Linked DNA regions of Callithrix jacchus. The protein of the gene in region 1 interacts with the protein of each later gene in a pairwise test. Links are inferred from orthologs where the notes say so. Each region holds a gene or a part of one and is shown in the gene's direction. Other genes may lie near its edges. The genes, in order: BCL2L2, BMF, FATE1 and KASH5.

Region 1 (4,177 bases):
ACAGAGTCTCATGTCACCCAGTCTGGAGTGCAATGGCATGACCTCAGCTGACTGCCACCTCTGCCTCCTGGGTTCAAGTGATTCTTGTGCCTCAGCCTCCTGAGCAGCTGGGATTACAGGTGTGCACCACCACACCTGGCTAATTTTTGTATTTTTAATAGAGATGGGGTTTTGCCATGTTGGTCAGGCTGGAATGGAACTCATGGCCTCAAGTGATCTGCCTGCCTCAGCCTCCCAAAGTGTTGGGATTATAGGAATGAGCCACCAAACCCAGCTAGTTGTTACTATTATTGCTGCAGAAAAGACCTTGCTTCTCTAGTGACCATAAGGGCAGTTGGTAATACCAAGGCTTGGATTGGAGGTAGAAGCAAAGGGAACTAGCAGAAAAAGAGAATTGGATCTCCTCTTTCTGGCCTTTGTTTGGGGTGATGTTTAAATGGAGGAAATGCCAGATCCAAGAGCCCAGGGGGCTGGCTGTGAGTGCCCTCATGTGGATCAGCTGTGGTTAGACTGCTTAACGCCTTGTGGTCTGCCCCATATAAATATACTGCCATGTATAAATAATGGCCGAATATATGTGTAATCTGGAAAGATAAACATCAAGTTTAACACTGGCAACCTGCAGGGAGGGAAGTGGAATGGTGTGTGTGTGTGTGTGTGTGTGTGTGAGTGAACCTGCATTTTATTACTCCGTACCTCTTTATTTGATTTTTTTTTCCATGAGAAGTAGTTCATGTGTTAGGTAAAAAATAAAATAAAATAAAGTAAAATAAATCTATTACAAAAGAATATGAAGAATTAAAGAAAAGGACCAGCAGAAACCGCTTGTGATCCAAGTCCTGGCTCCCTGATGCCTGGCTGAAGCCCAGCCCACAAGCAGAACACTGGGTTAAAGGTCGTGGAGAAAAGAGGATGGGAAAGGTTTGGTGTCTGTGTGGTGTCTGCTAGTCCCAGAAGGGTAAGGCACCTGGCAGGCGGTTTTCAGCTTAATGGGAACTGCTCCTGTTTTCCAGGCACACACAATCCAGGGCTGGAGAAGTTCAACAAGTGCATGGAACATCGGAAACCTCCTGGAAATGCTGAATTTGCCTCGAGATGTCCTGAAGTCCAGCATACTTCTCTGGGCAGCCTCGAGGCTCAGGAACCCAGCCCAGCCCAGCTTACTGTGCCCTCTCAGCCAGTCCTTCTTAGCCTTCAGCAGCCCTCCCTCTTCCTGAGTAGTGGCCCTTCGCAGGCCTGCGTCCCAGCCCCGCCCCTCTCTCTGGACGCATCTCTGGGCCCCATCATCACCCGGCGCCGGGCCCTCCCTCTGCCCCCCCTTTCTCCTCCCTCCTTCCCTCCCTCCTTTCCTCCCTCTCTCCCTCCCTCCCAGCTCCTGCACCAGGAAACGGCCCGGATCCCGGCAGCGGCCTGACCCGTGAGATCCCTAACCTGGCAGGCGGGCGGGGTTGAAGACTGGCTGAGGTGGGGGTAAGGGAGGAGCTGGGCCTTTGGGCTGCACTAGGGGGAACCGGGAATAGAGATGGTGTCGGCAGGAAGCCCTTCGCCCTGGGTTTCCCAGGAGGACAGTCATTAAACATGGATTCGGCCACACAGCTAGTAGAACGTTGGGGGCAGGGGCCCAGGCCCAGAGCTGCAACCCCAGCCCTCCCAGGCCAGACCCTGATCCCTGGCCTTCCCCTCCTGGTTCTGATCTCCCCCTCCCCTTTTCAGGGCTCCACGCTGGCTGGGAGGATGAAAGGCCCCAGCTGGGGGCTCCTTGCCACCAGCGCTGTGTCTTAAGAGCTGCCATCCCGGCTGGGTGAGTGTCTCCTTCCTTTCTCTGTCTGGAGGAACCCATTGCGTCTCCCACCTTTCTCTTCAGCCCATCTGCTCCCCTTCATCTTGTGCCTCTGCCAACATCTTTACATCTTGCATTTGGGGAGGTCCTAAGCCCCTTCCTCTGGCCAAGAAGGTGTGGACTGAGCAGGGGGAGGTGTGTAGGGGTGTCACAGAGCTGACGTTGTCTTATTATGAAAAGAATCTAAAGTGTTCTAAACAAAATTTACTTGTTTTGCATTTAATTTTGCATATTAGGATGTAATGGCCAGCCTATCGAACCCTGGTCCCGCATCATAACTTAATTCCCTTGTTCTTGCCTCTCCCTGTCTAGTGAGCTCTGAGCATTTCCTCCATCCTCCCCATCTCACTGGGTTGGGCAAACCAGAAATTCTCCTTCTGGTTCTCTGTCCATATATTAATGCCAGTCTTTCATCCTTGCCTCTTATAGCTGCCCGGATGGCGACCCCAGCCTCCGCCCCAGACACACGGGCTCTGGTGGCAGACTTTGTAGGTTATAAGCTGAGGCAGAAAGGTTATGTCTGTGGAACTGGCCCCGGGGAGGGCCCAGCAGCTGACCCGCTGCACCAAGCAATGCGGGCAGCTGGAGATGAATTCGAGACCCGCTTCCGGCGCACCTTCTCTGATCTGGCGGCTCAGCTGCATGTGACCCCAGGTTCAGCCCAACAACGCTTCACCCAGGTCTCCGATGAACTTTTCCAAGGGGGTCCCAACTGGGGCCGCCTTGTAGCCTTCTTTGTCTTTGGGGCTGCACTGTGTGCTGAGAGTGTCAACAAGGAGATGGAACCACTGGTGGGACAAGTGCAGGAGTGGATGGTGGCCTACCTGGAGACGCGGCTGGCCGACTGGATCCACAGCAGTGGGGGCTGGGTAAGAAGCTTCTCAATTGCCGCTCTGCACATCCCTCTGCAAAGCTGGTCTCCAGGGGGAAGATGGGGGCTCTGATTGGAGGCTGAGGCAGCTATGTTGGGAATGAGGTATGGGGCTGAGGCTCCCCGTCTGGGTGGAATCAGACTGAGAGATGCCTGGGCTCTGCACTCCAGGGCTGCCATGCAGTCAACACTGGATGGGCTCATGGTCCCAAGCAGAGGGCAGAATATGCACCCAAGGAGTGCCTGCAGGGGAATGGTGTCAGGGACTTTTTGCATCTGAGTCATGGCATGGGAGGTGGGGAGGATCAGGGATGGGGGGTGGTCAGGCAATCCTTGGCAAAGGATGCTAGTTCTGAGCAGAATTTTTCGCCAAGGAAAGGATGGAATTCACTGGAGACAGAGTGGGCAAATGAACCAGTCTCTCAGGGTGGGGGTATGCCTGGGGGGATCAGAGGGGCTTGTAGTAGAGCCTTGACTAGAGAGGAGCTGGGAATGGGGTAGTGCTCGCAGTGAATGGAACTGGAACTCTTCCTCTCCTCTTCTCTCCACTCTTTCCTCTCCTGATATCCCTTTCTCCTTCTTTCTCTCCTACTTCCCTTCTCTCCCACAGGCGGAGTTCACAGCTCTATACGGGGACGGGGCCCTGGAGGAGGCGCGGCGTCTGCGGGAGGGGAACTGGGCATCAGTGAGGACAGTGCTGACAGGGGCCGTGGCACTGGGGGCCCTGGTAACTGTAGGGGCCTTTTTTGCTAGCAAGTGAAAGTCCAGGGCCAGGTGGGGCTAGGTGTGGCTGGGGGTCTGGAGAGCAGGAACAGAACAGAGAAATGCCCTTGGAAGAAGTGGAGTTGGTGGATGGGTGGGCATGGAACAGGGATGGGCAGGGGAAGGGTAGTGTGTAAGGGAGCTGAGTAGGCCAGGTAGGCGATTAGAAGAATGAGCAGGACATAGGGGAGGGGAATGTTTTGGCAAGTTTAGGGGGGCAGGAGATGGAGTCGTTCCAGGGCTGGGGGAGGTGGGAGGGATCATGCCTATAGGTGTGGGCACATGAAACGACCTGGAACTTGGTTTGTAGCCATGAGGAATGTGGACTTGCATAAGCAGTTGTGTTTCCATTGGATGAGTGGAATTTGGGGAACATAGAAGGTACATCCCTTTGGAATGGAAGCTTGAGGGTTCTTGGGCGATAGGGAGAGGTGGCTGTAACCATGGGCTGCTTGGACACACGTGTGCATGTGCACGCATGCTGCTGTGCATGCTGGGCTGCCTGGCAAATCTGGTGGTGGTGGTATTCCCCAAGGAGAAAACATTCCCTCTTGCAATGGCAAGAACTAGGAGCAGTTCTCTGCCCTGCCCCCCACAACCCCTCCTTTCCCTTGCCGTTGTCCTGATGCCTCAAGGCTTAGAGAGAAACATTGTATCCAGACATAGGGCTCTGCTGCTTCTCTCCAGAAAGTAATTGGCAAGGC
Region 2 (4,021 bases), about 11 Mb from region 1:
GGAGTGCCATGGTGCCATCTTGTCCCACTGCAACCTTCGCCTCCTGGGTTCAAGCAATTCTCCTGCCTCAGCCTCCCAAGTAGCTGGGATTACAGGCATGCACCACCAAGCCTGGCTAACTTTTGTATTTTTTAGTAGACAGACAGGGTTTCGCCGTGTTGGCCAGGCTGGTCTCCAACTGCTGAGTTCAAATGATCAGCCCGCCCCGGCCTCTCAAAGTGCTGGGATTACAGGCGTGAGCCATTCGCATCTGGTTTTCCTTATTGAAAAATATTTCCCATTCAATTTAAAAGCCATCTTCCTGAAGCCTTCCCTAACCTTTATATTCTGAATTTTTCTGCACTCCTCAAGAGTCATTATCCTTGGAATGAACACCATCCCTATGGCTTTTCACTATTTTCAGGGCTACCTCTCCTAGAAGACTGTAAGCTCCTTGAGGACAGACTCCAGGTTTCTCGCACTTAGCCCAGTATCTGGCACAGAGTAGGTGCTCAGTAAATGTTTGTGAAGTAGCCCATAGACTCCCTTGTGCGGTCTGCAGGACACGCTGCTCTTCTGGGAGCACCAGCACAGTCTCTAAATGCTGCCATAGCGATATGTATCAACCGCTCAAGCAGCCCTTGCCTTCTTGCGCTCCTCTTCTCATCCAGATGTTTATTTTGCCAGTGCCCACGCCCAGGCAAGAAGAGGACCTGAGGGCTCCTCTGAATGTGTTTGTTTCAAACACACCTTCAGCTTTGGGGCTGCAGTTTTCTTCAGACCAGCTCGGCAGGCTGGAGGGAGCTTTCCCCCGAGGCTGGGATCCCATAGGCACCCTGTACCCTGCCCCCACTGGACGCGCCAGCCTCATAAAAAAAACTCCCTGTCTCCTTCCCCCCACCCTTTCTGATCGCGCAGCAATTATTCTGTCCATTCCCGTGAAAAAGAAGACAAAAGTTACTTTGGCGCCCCCTCTCCCACACCTGATAGGATTCAGGGACTCTCTGGCGCTTCCAGAGCCTGTGTTAGGGACAGAATCCGTGAGGGAGACGGCGCTCTAACTGCGCTTCTGGTGAGGATCGGAATTTTGCTCGGTCCCTTGCAATGTTTCCCTGGGAAGGTTCGTACATTCGTGACCGTCCCTGGCAGCTGCCCAGCCCGGGACTTGGCGCTTCACTCGCCATTGGCCAGTCCTCGGCGTGACGCGAAGAGGGGCGGGGCCTCATCAGCTGTTTGCGGGATGCCCCGAGCGGGCGTATTTTGGAAACAATACCGCACGGTGCGGAGTGGCCTCCTCCCGCCCCGGCCCGCGTCCGCTGCCGCCGCCGCCCTTTGCCTGCGCCTCCCGCCTCCCGCCGCAGCCCGGTGAGAGCCCGGGTGGCGGCCGGGGGGCCGGGCGGAGTTGGATCGCAGCTCCTTGGGGAAGTAGGGAGAGGAGTCGCGCTGCGCATAGGGGCCCTGGAAGGGTTTGGGCTGCGGACGTCTGGGGTGACCATGAAGAACTGGGGCCCTGGGGTGAGGGACCGAGGTGCAGAACCCACAGCTGGGTGTGCCGCTCCAAGAGGGAACTTGGGGCTAGCATTTGGGACTCGAAGGAGTTGGGTCCAGGTGGGCGGAGGAACCTGGGTGCACTGCTGAGCAGACCTGGGTGCCCGAGAGCGGCCCAGCCTCTGGGTCTGACTTTGGGGTAGGACAGGAGTTGTGGGGCATCTTGCCTTTCTGCGGAGTCTGAAGGCTCCTCTCCTTAACAGCTGGGCTTTTTCCCTCCTTCCCAATCGAGTCTGGGCATCAAGCCCCCGAGTGCTCGTCACGCTGGACCCTGGCGCGGAGCCCTGGCATCACGACTCGGAGGCCGAGACCCTCTCCTGGAGTCACCCAGGTCTGGGTGGGTGGGTGGGTGGCTGTGTGTGTGTGTGTGTAAGCTCGGGCTGTTTGGCTACTGCATTCTCCTAAGAGGAGGAGGAGTCTAAGTTCAGCATCCCTCTTCGATCCCTTAGGGGCTGGGATGGCTACAGCGGGTCTTTAGTTCCTTTGCTAGGAGTAAAGCATTCCCTGGCACTGTTCTCAGGAAGTGCCCTCCTCCCCCTACTCTTGATATCACCTCTTAAGCTCAGGAGAAAAGGGAGGAAAGGATTTCTTCACCTTTTCTTAGTTTACCCTTGACCTTGCCAAGCACCACTCCAGAGGTGTCCACCTACAGGCAAGCTACCGGCAGTTTGTGGAGAGTGAAGGGGTCCCTGGGGCTTGCAGAGCCACGCCTTCTGGCTGCACTTACCCCACTGTCCAGTCTGTGCAAGCCTTGAACTTTGGGGCTTTGCTGGGAGGGGGAGGGGAAGGTGATAGGCTTCAAAGGAAAAACCAAGACAATGACTTGTGCTTGTGATTGGCTTTGAGGGCCCCTTCTAAGAAGAGATTGGAGGGCTGGAGGGGAGCCCCTGCCAGGTGACTGGCAGGACAGCACTTGGTCCTTTCATCAGGAAATGCTGTTTCCTGTCGCTAATAAGCTGGAGTGCACCCCCCCACACACACACCACTTGGGAAACACTGTCCAAAGAACACCACATGGCTGCTTGCCATCCTAGCAGGCATATCCTCACTCTCCAGGGATGATGGTAGAGACAGGACCATAGACAGCTCAGGGACTGGGATGGGATGGGATGAAGCCGGGCCCGGAGCAAGCATCTCACAGAGAGCCTGCATTTGGCAAAGGCAGGGTTCTGAATTGAACTGAAATTGTTTTAGCAACTTCATCAACTTACAGACCTTTTGGCTTGTTATTCAAAGGGAAGAGACTGGGGAACAGAACACCCAGGAATCTCTAATTGAGTCTGACAAAGATGAAATTCATCTCTTTTTATCCTTAGCTGTTCAGGTGGTTGCTGCTTCTGACTGCTGCAGGGATCTTAAGGGGTTCCTGGTGTGTGCAGGGAGCTAGGTTGGAAGCTTAAGATGCTGGGTAGCTCCAAGCTCAGACTTCCAAGAGCCATCAGGTGGAGTAAGAGGTACTTCTTTATTACCAAGAAACTCTCATCAATAACCTGAGTAGTAGAGACAGTGAGGTCACAGGGAGAGGGGTGAATTTCACTTCCTTCTGTAAGACCAATTACGCCAATCTCAGGTCTCAGGTTCTGAGCTGGCAGGAGTGGGAGGCTGTGGAGACAAGGATTTGAAGTCTTGGAGACTAGTGAGGAGACTTAGCTGGGAGAGGCTGGACCTACCTTCCAGGCCAAGCTTTGGTGGGCAGATAGCTCAACTCTGCTCAAAGAGAGGCGAGACGGCACCTGCGATGACTAACTTGGGTTTTTATCCCTTCTCCCAGGACATACTCTTACCACACTGCAGAGCCTGTTTGTTGTGTTGTGCAAGCAAGGGGTGGAGATTAGAGTAGATGGGCAGCAGGGCGGGGCTTAGGGGTTTGGAGGGAACCTGATTGCCCTAGGACTGCGGGCTTTTGTTTCTGCTGCTGAGTCTGGAGCTAAGCTCAGACTGAGATAAGAGTTTCCTTGGGGCAATGACTTTGTGTGTGTTTGTATGTGTGTGTGTGTGTTGTGAGCATTGTATATATAGCCAGTCACAGCACCCTTGACAGCAACTTACAGAGGCTAGTCTTGTTTATATTTTCCCAGGTACCCTGCATGCCTATAGCTGTTGATTGTACTCCTGTTATTGCTCACAACCCCGAGTCAAACTTTGTGACTGGCCTAGGTCAGAAACAGGATCAGGAAAAACAGTGGTTCCAGGCGGGACCAAGGAAGAGGTGTGGAGGGCCCCTGAACACTGAGGCAGTTCAAATTTTGGGAGTGGGTGTCACCCTTGGCAGTGCTTTATTACTAGGATTGTGTGTCATCAGTATGTGGCCCGGTCCCCTCAAATAAGAAGGGGGAACAGAGAAGAAAGAAGGGAAGGGGAGTCCTTATATGTGTGGCCCTGGTGGGGCAGCATCCCAGATGTCTGCGTTGCCCTCTTACAGGGGAGATGGAGCCATCTCAGTGTGTGGAGGAGCTGGAGGATGATGTGTTCCAGCCAGAGGATGGGGAGCCAG
Region 3 (4,070 bases), on another chromosome or scaffold:
CTTCCTCCCTTCCTCCCTCCCTCTTTTCCTCCTTTCTTCCACCTCTTCCTCCCACTTGGCCCAGGGACTCTGGGGGAAGAGGAGGCTATTTGGAAAAGGAACCAGGACAGGTTTATAAAGGATTCCTTTTACAAATAGCCTCCTATTACCCCAGGGGCTCTGGGGTTGTTTCCTAAATGAAGGGTTCAGCATTGGTGGTTGTAGCAATCAGGGTTTTCAGAGAAACAGAGCTGATAGGATATATGTATGTATGTATGTATGTATGTATGTATGTATGTATGTATCTACATATGCACAAATATAGAGAAATTTATTTTAAGAAATTGGCTTATGTGACTGTGGGCCTCACAAGTCTGAAATGTACAGGACAGGCCGGCAGGCAGGAGACTCAGGCAAGAGTTGACCCTGCAGTCTTGGGGTTGAAATGCCTCTTCTCTGGAAACCTCAGTCTTTGCTCTTCAGGCCTCTCAGTTGATTGCGTGAGACCCACCCACATCATCGAGGATGAGTCTCTACTTTATTTCAAGTCCACTGGTTGTAGATGCCAATCACAGCTACAAATTGCCTCATCAGCAACACCTACACGGTGTTTGATGGAATCACCAGGGGCAAGTGCCTGGCCCAGGTGACTCATAAACCTGACCATCACAGTGGTCTAGTCAGTAGGTAAGCTGAGGGAGAATTGGAACTTAGAAGGTGCAGGGCCTGAGGCCCTTGGGGTTCTAGTGGCTGCAGTCAGGTCACACCTCTTTCACCCTTCCCTCCTTTGGTTCTCATGGCTCCTGCCTAGGCTGACCGACTTCAGAAAAAGGCTGCCTCCTGTGTTTGGGGACTCTGGATATGGGAGGTAGGATATGCTCTCCAGAGAATCCCTTTTGAAGGCATGGTATGGCCTGGATTGCTAGGACCTAACTCTGCTGTGGCCACTGTGTGGCTCTTGGACCCTGTGCCAATCCTTGCATCTGCCTAGAAATGATGATGGGATCCCCCATGAGCTAAATCTGGAGATCCATGAGCCAGAGCAGTTCTCACAGGCAAAAGCTTGGAGTTGTATCTCTTCTAAGCTGCTTACAGAGTTGCAGGGGAGAACGCCATGGACCCAACCAATTAGATACAATGGGAACAGAAGGTACTCAGTCCAAGGCCTCAGCCTAGAGAGGGAGTGTCACTCCACCCCCAGGTCCTACTATATCTTCCTTGAGCTCCTGTCCCTGGAAGAGGCGATTTTCTGAGTGTGACTCCTCTGTTTCTGGCACCCTGCACATTTTTAGCCATTGCTTACAAGTGAACAGCTGGTTATGATGGCAGGAGGCCCTATCAGCACCAGGGAGGAGGTAGAAATATCCCTGGCTGAAGAACTGAATCATGGAAGCCAAGGGCAAAACCAAGAGCACCTGGGGATAGCAGGTGAGGATCCTCTAAAATACCACTTGGCTATAGCCAACTCTGTAGATACGTGTCTATACCTGTGCATGTGTGTGTTGGAAAAGGTGCATGTGTGCAAGGAAGTGTTTGCACATGTGTGTGTTGGGGAGCTTCGAGGATTTGTGGGTTGATGATAAGGGAGGTAGGGAAAAGGGAGCATTTTTCCTACTGTCTCCCACTTGTCCAAGCCACCACCATGTCTGTTGCAAAATACTCAGAGAGCTCAAATTACAAGATCAGAGATCAATTCTCTCTCCCAATGCTCTAATTCATTTCCCTGCCCTTCAGAGGAAAGTCCAAACTCCACAGTCTATAAGATAGTATCAGCCTCCTCAAAACATTTCATGCTATGATATAGACAGAAAATATCATTTCTATAGCTCACAAAAGGGCCAAGATCACACTGCATTTATGTTTGTTATTACAATGCTGCAAGCGTGCTTATTCCCCAAAGACCTTGCATTTGCTGTTTCTTCTGTCTGGAATGTGCTTTCCCTCAATTTCCCAGGGCTGGGTCCTTTATTTCTTTCAGGTCCCTGCTTCAGTTTTTGTCTCCTACTTTTTAGAGGGAGCCCTTTCCTTCTACTATGTTACCATGTTTTGATCGTTTATGGAGCCTGTGTCTCTCTGTCTGCATTTGCGAGGATAGATTACTTTCTGCTGTACACCTGTCATTCCCCCTTATACACAAACAGATGGTCAGTTCTTTGAGAGCTGGAATCTTGTTCTTGATCATTGCTTTCTAAGTGAATAGAGAGTAACCTAGTCTCGAGCTCAGCCATCAGGAAATGCTTGATTAACTTTTGAACAAATGAACAAACTGAGGCCTGGGATCAGCTGGTGGATAGTGTTGAACGGGTGTTGAGTGATTCCCGAGAAGGCTGTGGCCTCTGCCTTCTTTTATGCTGTGTTTCGTGTCCAAAAAGCCCTGGTATAACTTCTGTGGGTGCTCCTGAGGCCTCTGTTCTTCTCTCTAGAAGTGATGGATCATAGATCTCGGTCCCTCAGTGTCCCCCAGAAGAGGCAGAAGGTGGAATCAAAAGCTGCAGGCTCTGCTGAAGCCAAACCAGTTTGGAATATGACTGCCACCCGGCCCAAGAAAATGGTACTGTATGGGGTCCTCAGCATAAGGTGGCCAGGTTGGGATTGGGAGTACTGTTTGTAGGGGCTCTTGCCTCACCAGGTCAGTCAGGGCTAGACATTGACTTGGGAGGAAGAGAAAGCTCCTGTGTTCCGAGCTGGCAAATGAGGAAAGGAAGGTCCAGTTAAAGGTCACGGTCATCCTTTCCTATACTAGAGGTTCAACCTTGGGAGTTCGGAATTCTTGAAACAAATATTGCTTAGGGAGTAAATAAATACTTTACTTTGTAAATCTATTGCGTGAAATAATGCTTTCCTGTATTTAAAATTATGTGTGTGGTACACGTGTGTGTATACACACAATAAGTCAGGTGAGGCTCCTATCCTTTCTGGCTGTTAAGAAATCCAGTCAAGTGGCCTGGCATGGTGACTCATGCCTGTAATCCCAGCACTCTGAGAGGAGGAGATGGGCAGATCACTTGAGGCCAGGAGTTCGAGACCAGTCTGGCCAGTATGGTGAAACCCCCATCTCTATTAAAAATAAAAAAATTAGCTGGGCATGGTGGCACATGCCTGTAATCCCAGCTACTCAGGAGGCTGAGGCATGAGAATCGCTTGAACTCAGGAGGCAGAGGTTGCAATGAGCCAAAATCATGCTACTGCACTCCAGCCTGGGCAACAGAGAGAGACTCTGTAAAAAGAAAGAAGGGGGTGGGGGAGAGAGAGAGAGAGAGAAGAAGCAAGGAAGAAAGGAAGAAATCCAGTGAAGTGAATCTGACAATTTTGTAGCCAATGCTTTTAAGCTACATTCAATATGGGTGAAGAAATATTCTAGAACAAATAGTGGCTATACTGCTGCAAATGATATTGAGAAAAACAGTCATTTTGGAGGGAGAGGGAATTCTGACTCTTCTGGAGAATTAGGTGAGTTCCACAGTTCTGTAGCCAATCCTTTTAGCTAGCTACATTCACTGTGGGTAAGGGAAAGTTTTAGAAAAATTGATATGCTGTTGCAAAGGCTGCTGGGAAAAGGCAACAGGATTGGAGAGGGAGGGAGGACTGACTGCTCCAGGAAATAATGTGAGTCCCACGGTTCTGTGGCCAATTCTTTAAGCTACATTCACTGTGGATGTTGAATGTTCTAGAAAGATGCTGGCCACATTGTCGCAAAGGATACTGAAAAAGGCATTTATTTTGGAGAGAAGGGAGACCTGACTGCTTTAGGGAATCACAAATCCCATCTTTCTGTAGCCAATGCTTTTCACCACATTCAGGTTGGTGAGGAAAAATTAATAAAATTTTAGAAAATGGTGGTTTTTACTGTTACCACAGAAAAGTTTGGAAGTTACTGGGAAAGGGAGGGAGACTTGATTGCTGAAATGATTTGTTGGATGGCCCCAGGGAAGATTGAGAAAAAAGGCTTCCAGGTTTAAAGATTTCCTGGGAATAAAAATAGGTCAGATGTTGATCTGGCTTCCTGTGTCCAAAGACAGAAGCCAAATCAAGCTGCCCAGGAGGTCAGGCTCCGAGACTAGGGAGAATATCACCTCTGGTTTAATTAAAGC
Region 4 (2,838 bases), on another chromosome or scaffold:
ACACACAAGGCTGCAGTCGCCATACGGCAGGCCTCATAGACGTGGCTACACCCACGGATTGCATAAATGCACACGCACATTCGCCCACACTCGGAGGAGGTTGGGCTGGCCCTCCCCAGCCAGCCTCAGAATTCCCTGGGGGCACAATGCCCACAGCTCCCCTGCCTGCAGCCACACAGGCTGGCTCCTCTGCTCCTCAGAGTAGCTGTGCCCAGTGGAAGTTAGGATTTTGATTCTCAGGCAAGGAAGGGGAAATAAATTTGGTAAGGAGAGGTGAGGAGCCCTCGGTTCTGAGCTGAGGAATGCAGGAGCTGGGCTGGAGTCTGCCTGTTGTAGGTCAGGCACTGTCAGGGCCCTTGGGGCTCTTCAGGGTCCAAATCAGCCAAGATGGCTGCCTCCAGGATGCTCAGCTCCCAGCAGCCTGGCCCCAAAGTCCACTCCCTTGCCCCAGAGACTGGGGATCCACCTCAGCTTCCTCATCGCTCACATGGGGACAATCTCTTCCTAGCTCCCAGGGTTGGGATGAGGGTTAAGGACCACGTCGTAAAGGGCCTGGGTGCCTGCCTAGCACAACAGGCGTTGGAGGTGAAGATACTGATCATGATTGGTGTTCTGTTTTAATTTATTGATCATCATCCTCATCTTCGTCAGAAAGAAGCAGGGGTGGGAAGGCCAAAGACCTATAAGGGGAGGCCCTTCCAGGGAGACACGAGGGATGAGGCGGTACAGTGGGTTGGGCCTGACCCCTGGAGAAACAGCTGGGACTTTAATCTTTGAATCTTCAGATAAAGTACTAGAATTAATCAGTGAATTCAGCATGGTTGCTGGGTTAAAGGTCAAAATAAAAAATCAGTCATATTTCAGTGTGGCAACAATGAGCAATGAGAAAATTAAATTTATACCATTTATAATAGCATGGGGTTTTTTGTTTGTTTTTTTGAGACAGAACCGTGCTCTGTCGCCAAGCTGGAGTGCAGTGACATCATCTTGGCTCACTGCAACCTCTGCCTCCCTGGTTCAAGTGATTCTCCCACCTCAGCCTCCCAACTAGCTAGGATTACAGGCATGCGCCACCACACCCAGCTAATTTTTGTATTTTCGGTAGAGAAAGGGTTTCACCATGTTGGCCAGGATGGTCTCAATCTCCTGCCCTTGTGATCTGCCCACTTTGGACTCCCAAAGTGTTGGGATTACAGGTGTAAGCCACCATGCCCAGCCTATGATGGGCTGTTTTTAATTAAAGCACCTGCCGATTCTGGCATAGGCAGGAAAACAGGATTCTGCATGAGGTCCAGCACGGGGGTGGGCACCTGTAGAAGATGTGGTCTCTGCCCTTAAAGAGCTTAGATACTTCCAGAATCTGATGGAAAATGGAGGTGATGATATTGAATAGCTCATACAGACATTGAGCACTCACTATGTACCAGGCACTGTCCAAGTCACTGCCTGCCTTTTTCATTCATTTAGTCTCCATGTTAATCCTATGAGGTGGGGACATCCCTGGCTAGCAGATGGGGAAAGAGAGGCACGGAGAGGTGTGGTAACATGCCAAGGGCTCTCAGCCAGAAGCTGGCAGAACTGGGAACCCAACCTGGCAGCATGTCTCAAAGAAGCTCATTCAACTCCTGAGTTCCACTACCTTCTGTGTGGTCACTGTGTCCAGTGGGCTGACCTGAGGGCCTCTCAGTCCAGAACCCAGTGCCTCAAATGCATCTCTTCGTCCTTCCAGGCTGATCTCCCCATCCCTCTAGGAGACTCTCACTCTGGAGACATCGCAGAAAGCCCTCCAAGGAGGTAATAGGACCCATGGGGTCCAGGAGGGAAATTGGAGACAAGGAAAAACCAGTGTTGATTCCCTCCTTTCCCCCAGCAGCCCTGCCCAGCAGGATCTCCGGCAAGCCCTGGTCCCTGTGATGAAGGAGCTGGTCCCAGTCAGGAGGAGGCCCTGGGGCCAGCTCATCCTGCCCCCACAGCGACTCAGGTGTGCCCCCAGGCACCTCCAGAAGGAAGAAGGTGTTCTGACATTGGGAAGACCAGGGGCTGCCTGGACCCTGCCCTAAGCACTCTCCCACCTCCCCACTAGGGTCACTCGGTATCCGATGATCCCAGCTCCAGTCCTGGGCCTGCTGCTGCTGCTGCTGCTCTCTGTCCTGCTGCTGGGCCAGTCCCCACCTCCCACCTTGCCCCACCTCCAGCTCTGTTACCTCCAGCCCCCTCCAGTGTGAGAGGCTCTGCTTGTCCCTCAGAACAGTGTGTAGTTCAATAAATCCCCTGGCGCTCTCTCCGCTCGGATCCCCTATGTTAGGCCAGTGTTGCACGGGCTTATCGCAGAAACCGTACAGGGGGATCCACATCCCTGGACTGGGTTTATGTGAAGGCTCCTAGTTATTTAATGTTGACATTTAACAAAAGCAAAACTTCCCCAGTCACAGATTAAGCACTAAGGACTATTCCTTCACAAAACAAGCCTGGCAAGGGCAGCTGTGGGCACACAGCGAAGTCTCAGCTGCCTTGGGGTCAGGGCCTCAGTGATTCTCCCGTCCCCTCACGCTCAGGAGCTGGCAGTTGTAGCTTCCCACATCACATCTGCAGGGAGACGGAAGCTCGTCCCTTCCTTTTTATAAAGAGAGGCAGTAGCCTCAGTGTGCAGTGGGTAGATTCAGATCATAATCATAATGAAAGAGAAGCAGTCGCCTGCCCAGAGCCACCAGCAGACTTGTGTCTGTCTCACCAGTCAGACTGTTTGGTGTGACCACCACTCTCAACTGTAAGGGAGGCTGGGACCTGGGAGGCCAAGTACCTCTCCAGGGACCAGCTGCCTTGCAGCCACGCAGAACC

What was found.
Region 2: the proteins of BCL2L2 (region 1) and BMF interact in binary tests that used the Homo sapiens proteins (3 or more experiments, as listed by UniProt). The two-hybrid records come from large-scale screens. The link is inferred for Callithrix jacchus from reciprocal best matches to the Homo sapiens genes BCL2L2 and BMF.
Region 3: the proteins of BCL2L2 (region 1) and FATE1 interact in binary tests that used the Homo sapiens proteins (3 or more experiments, as listed by UniProt). The two-hybrid records come from large-scale screens. The link is inferred for Callithrix jacchus from reciprocal best matches to the Homo sapiens genes BCL2L2 and FATE1.
Region 4: the proteins of BCL2L2 (region 1) and KASH5 interact in binary tests that used the Homo sapiens proteins (3 or more experiments, as listed by UniProt). The two-hybrid records come from large-scale screens. The link is inferred for Callithrix jacchus from reciprocal best matches to the Homo sapiens genes BCL2L2 and KASH5.

Annotation. Positions count from the first base shown.
Region 1 is NC_133509.1:57,649,368-57,653,544, forward strand, and holds the start of BCL2L2 (bcl-2-like protein 2), read left to right. Parts: upstream 1-1,361; 5' UTR 1,362-1,464; exon of another isoform or gene 1,465-1,470; intron 1,471-1,713; 5' UTR 1,714-1,801; intron 1,802-2,269; 5' UTR 2,270-2,277; coding exon 2,278-2,709; intron 2,710-3,321; coding exon of another isoform or gene 3,322-3,471; exon of another isoform or gene 3,472-4,177. UniProt on the Homo sapiens protein: Promotes cell survival. Blocks dexamethasone-induced apoptosis. Mediates survival of postmitotic Sertoli cells by suppressing death-promoting activity of BAX.
Region 2 is NC_133509.1:46,492,391-46,496,411, forward strand, and holds the start of BMF (bcl-2-modifying factor), read left to right. Parts: upstream 1-1,206; 5' UTR 1,207-1,219; coding exon 1,220-1,344; intron 1,345-1,730; coding exon 1,731-1,858; intron 1,859-3,949; coding exon 3,950-4,021. UniProt on the Homo sapiens protein: May play a role in apoptosis. Isoform 1 seems to be the main initiator.
Region 3 is NC_133524.1:148,013,564-148,017,633, forward strand, and holds the start of FATE1 (fetal and adult testis-expressed transcript protein), read left to right. Parts: upstream 1-1,216; 5' UTR 1,217-1,298; coding exon 1,299-1,407; intron 1,408-2,402; coding exon 2,403-2,530; intron 2,531-4,070. UniProt on the Homo sapiens protein: Involved in the regulation of endoplasmic reticulum (ER)-mitochondria coupling. Negatively regulates the ER-mitochondria distance and Ca(2+) transfer from ER to mitochondria possibly implicating it in the regulation of apoptosis.
Region 4 is NC_133523.1:43,178,722-43,181,559, forward strand, and holds the end of KASH5 (protein KASH5), read left to right. Parts: intron 1-1,729; coding exon 1,730-1,794; intron 1,795-1,870; coding exon 1,871-1,981; intron 1,982-2,083; coding exon 2,084-2,225; coding exon of another isoform or gene 2,226-2,266; 3' UTR 2,267-2,283; downstream 2,284-2,838. UniProt on the Homo sapiens protein: As a component of the LINC (LInker of Nucleoskeleton and Cytoskeleton) complex, involved in the connection between the nuclear lamina and the cytoskeleton.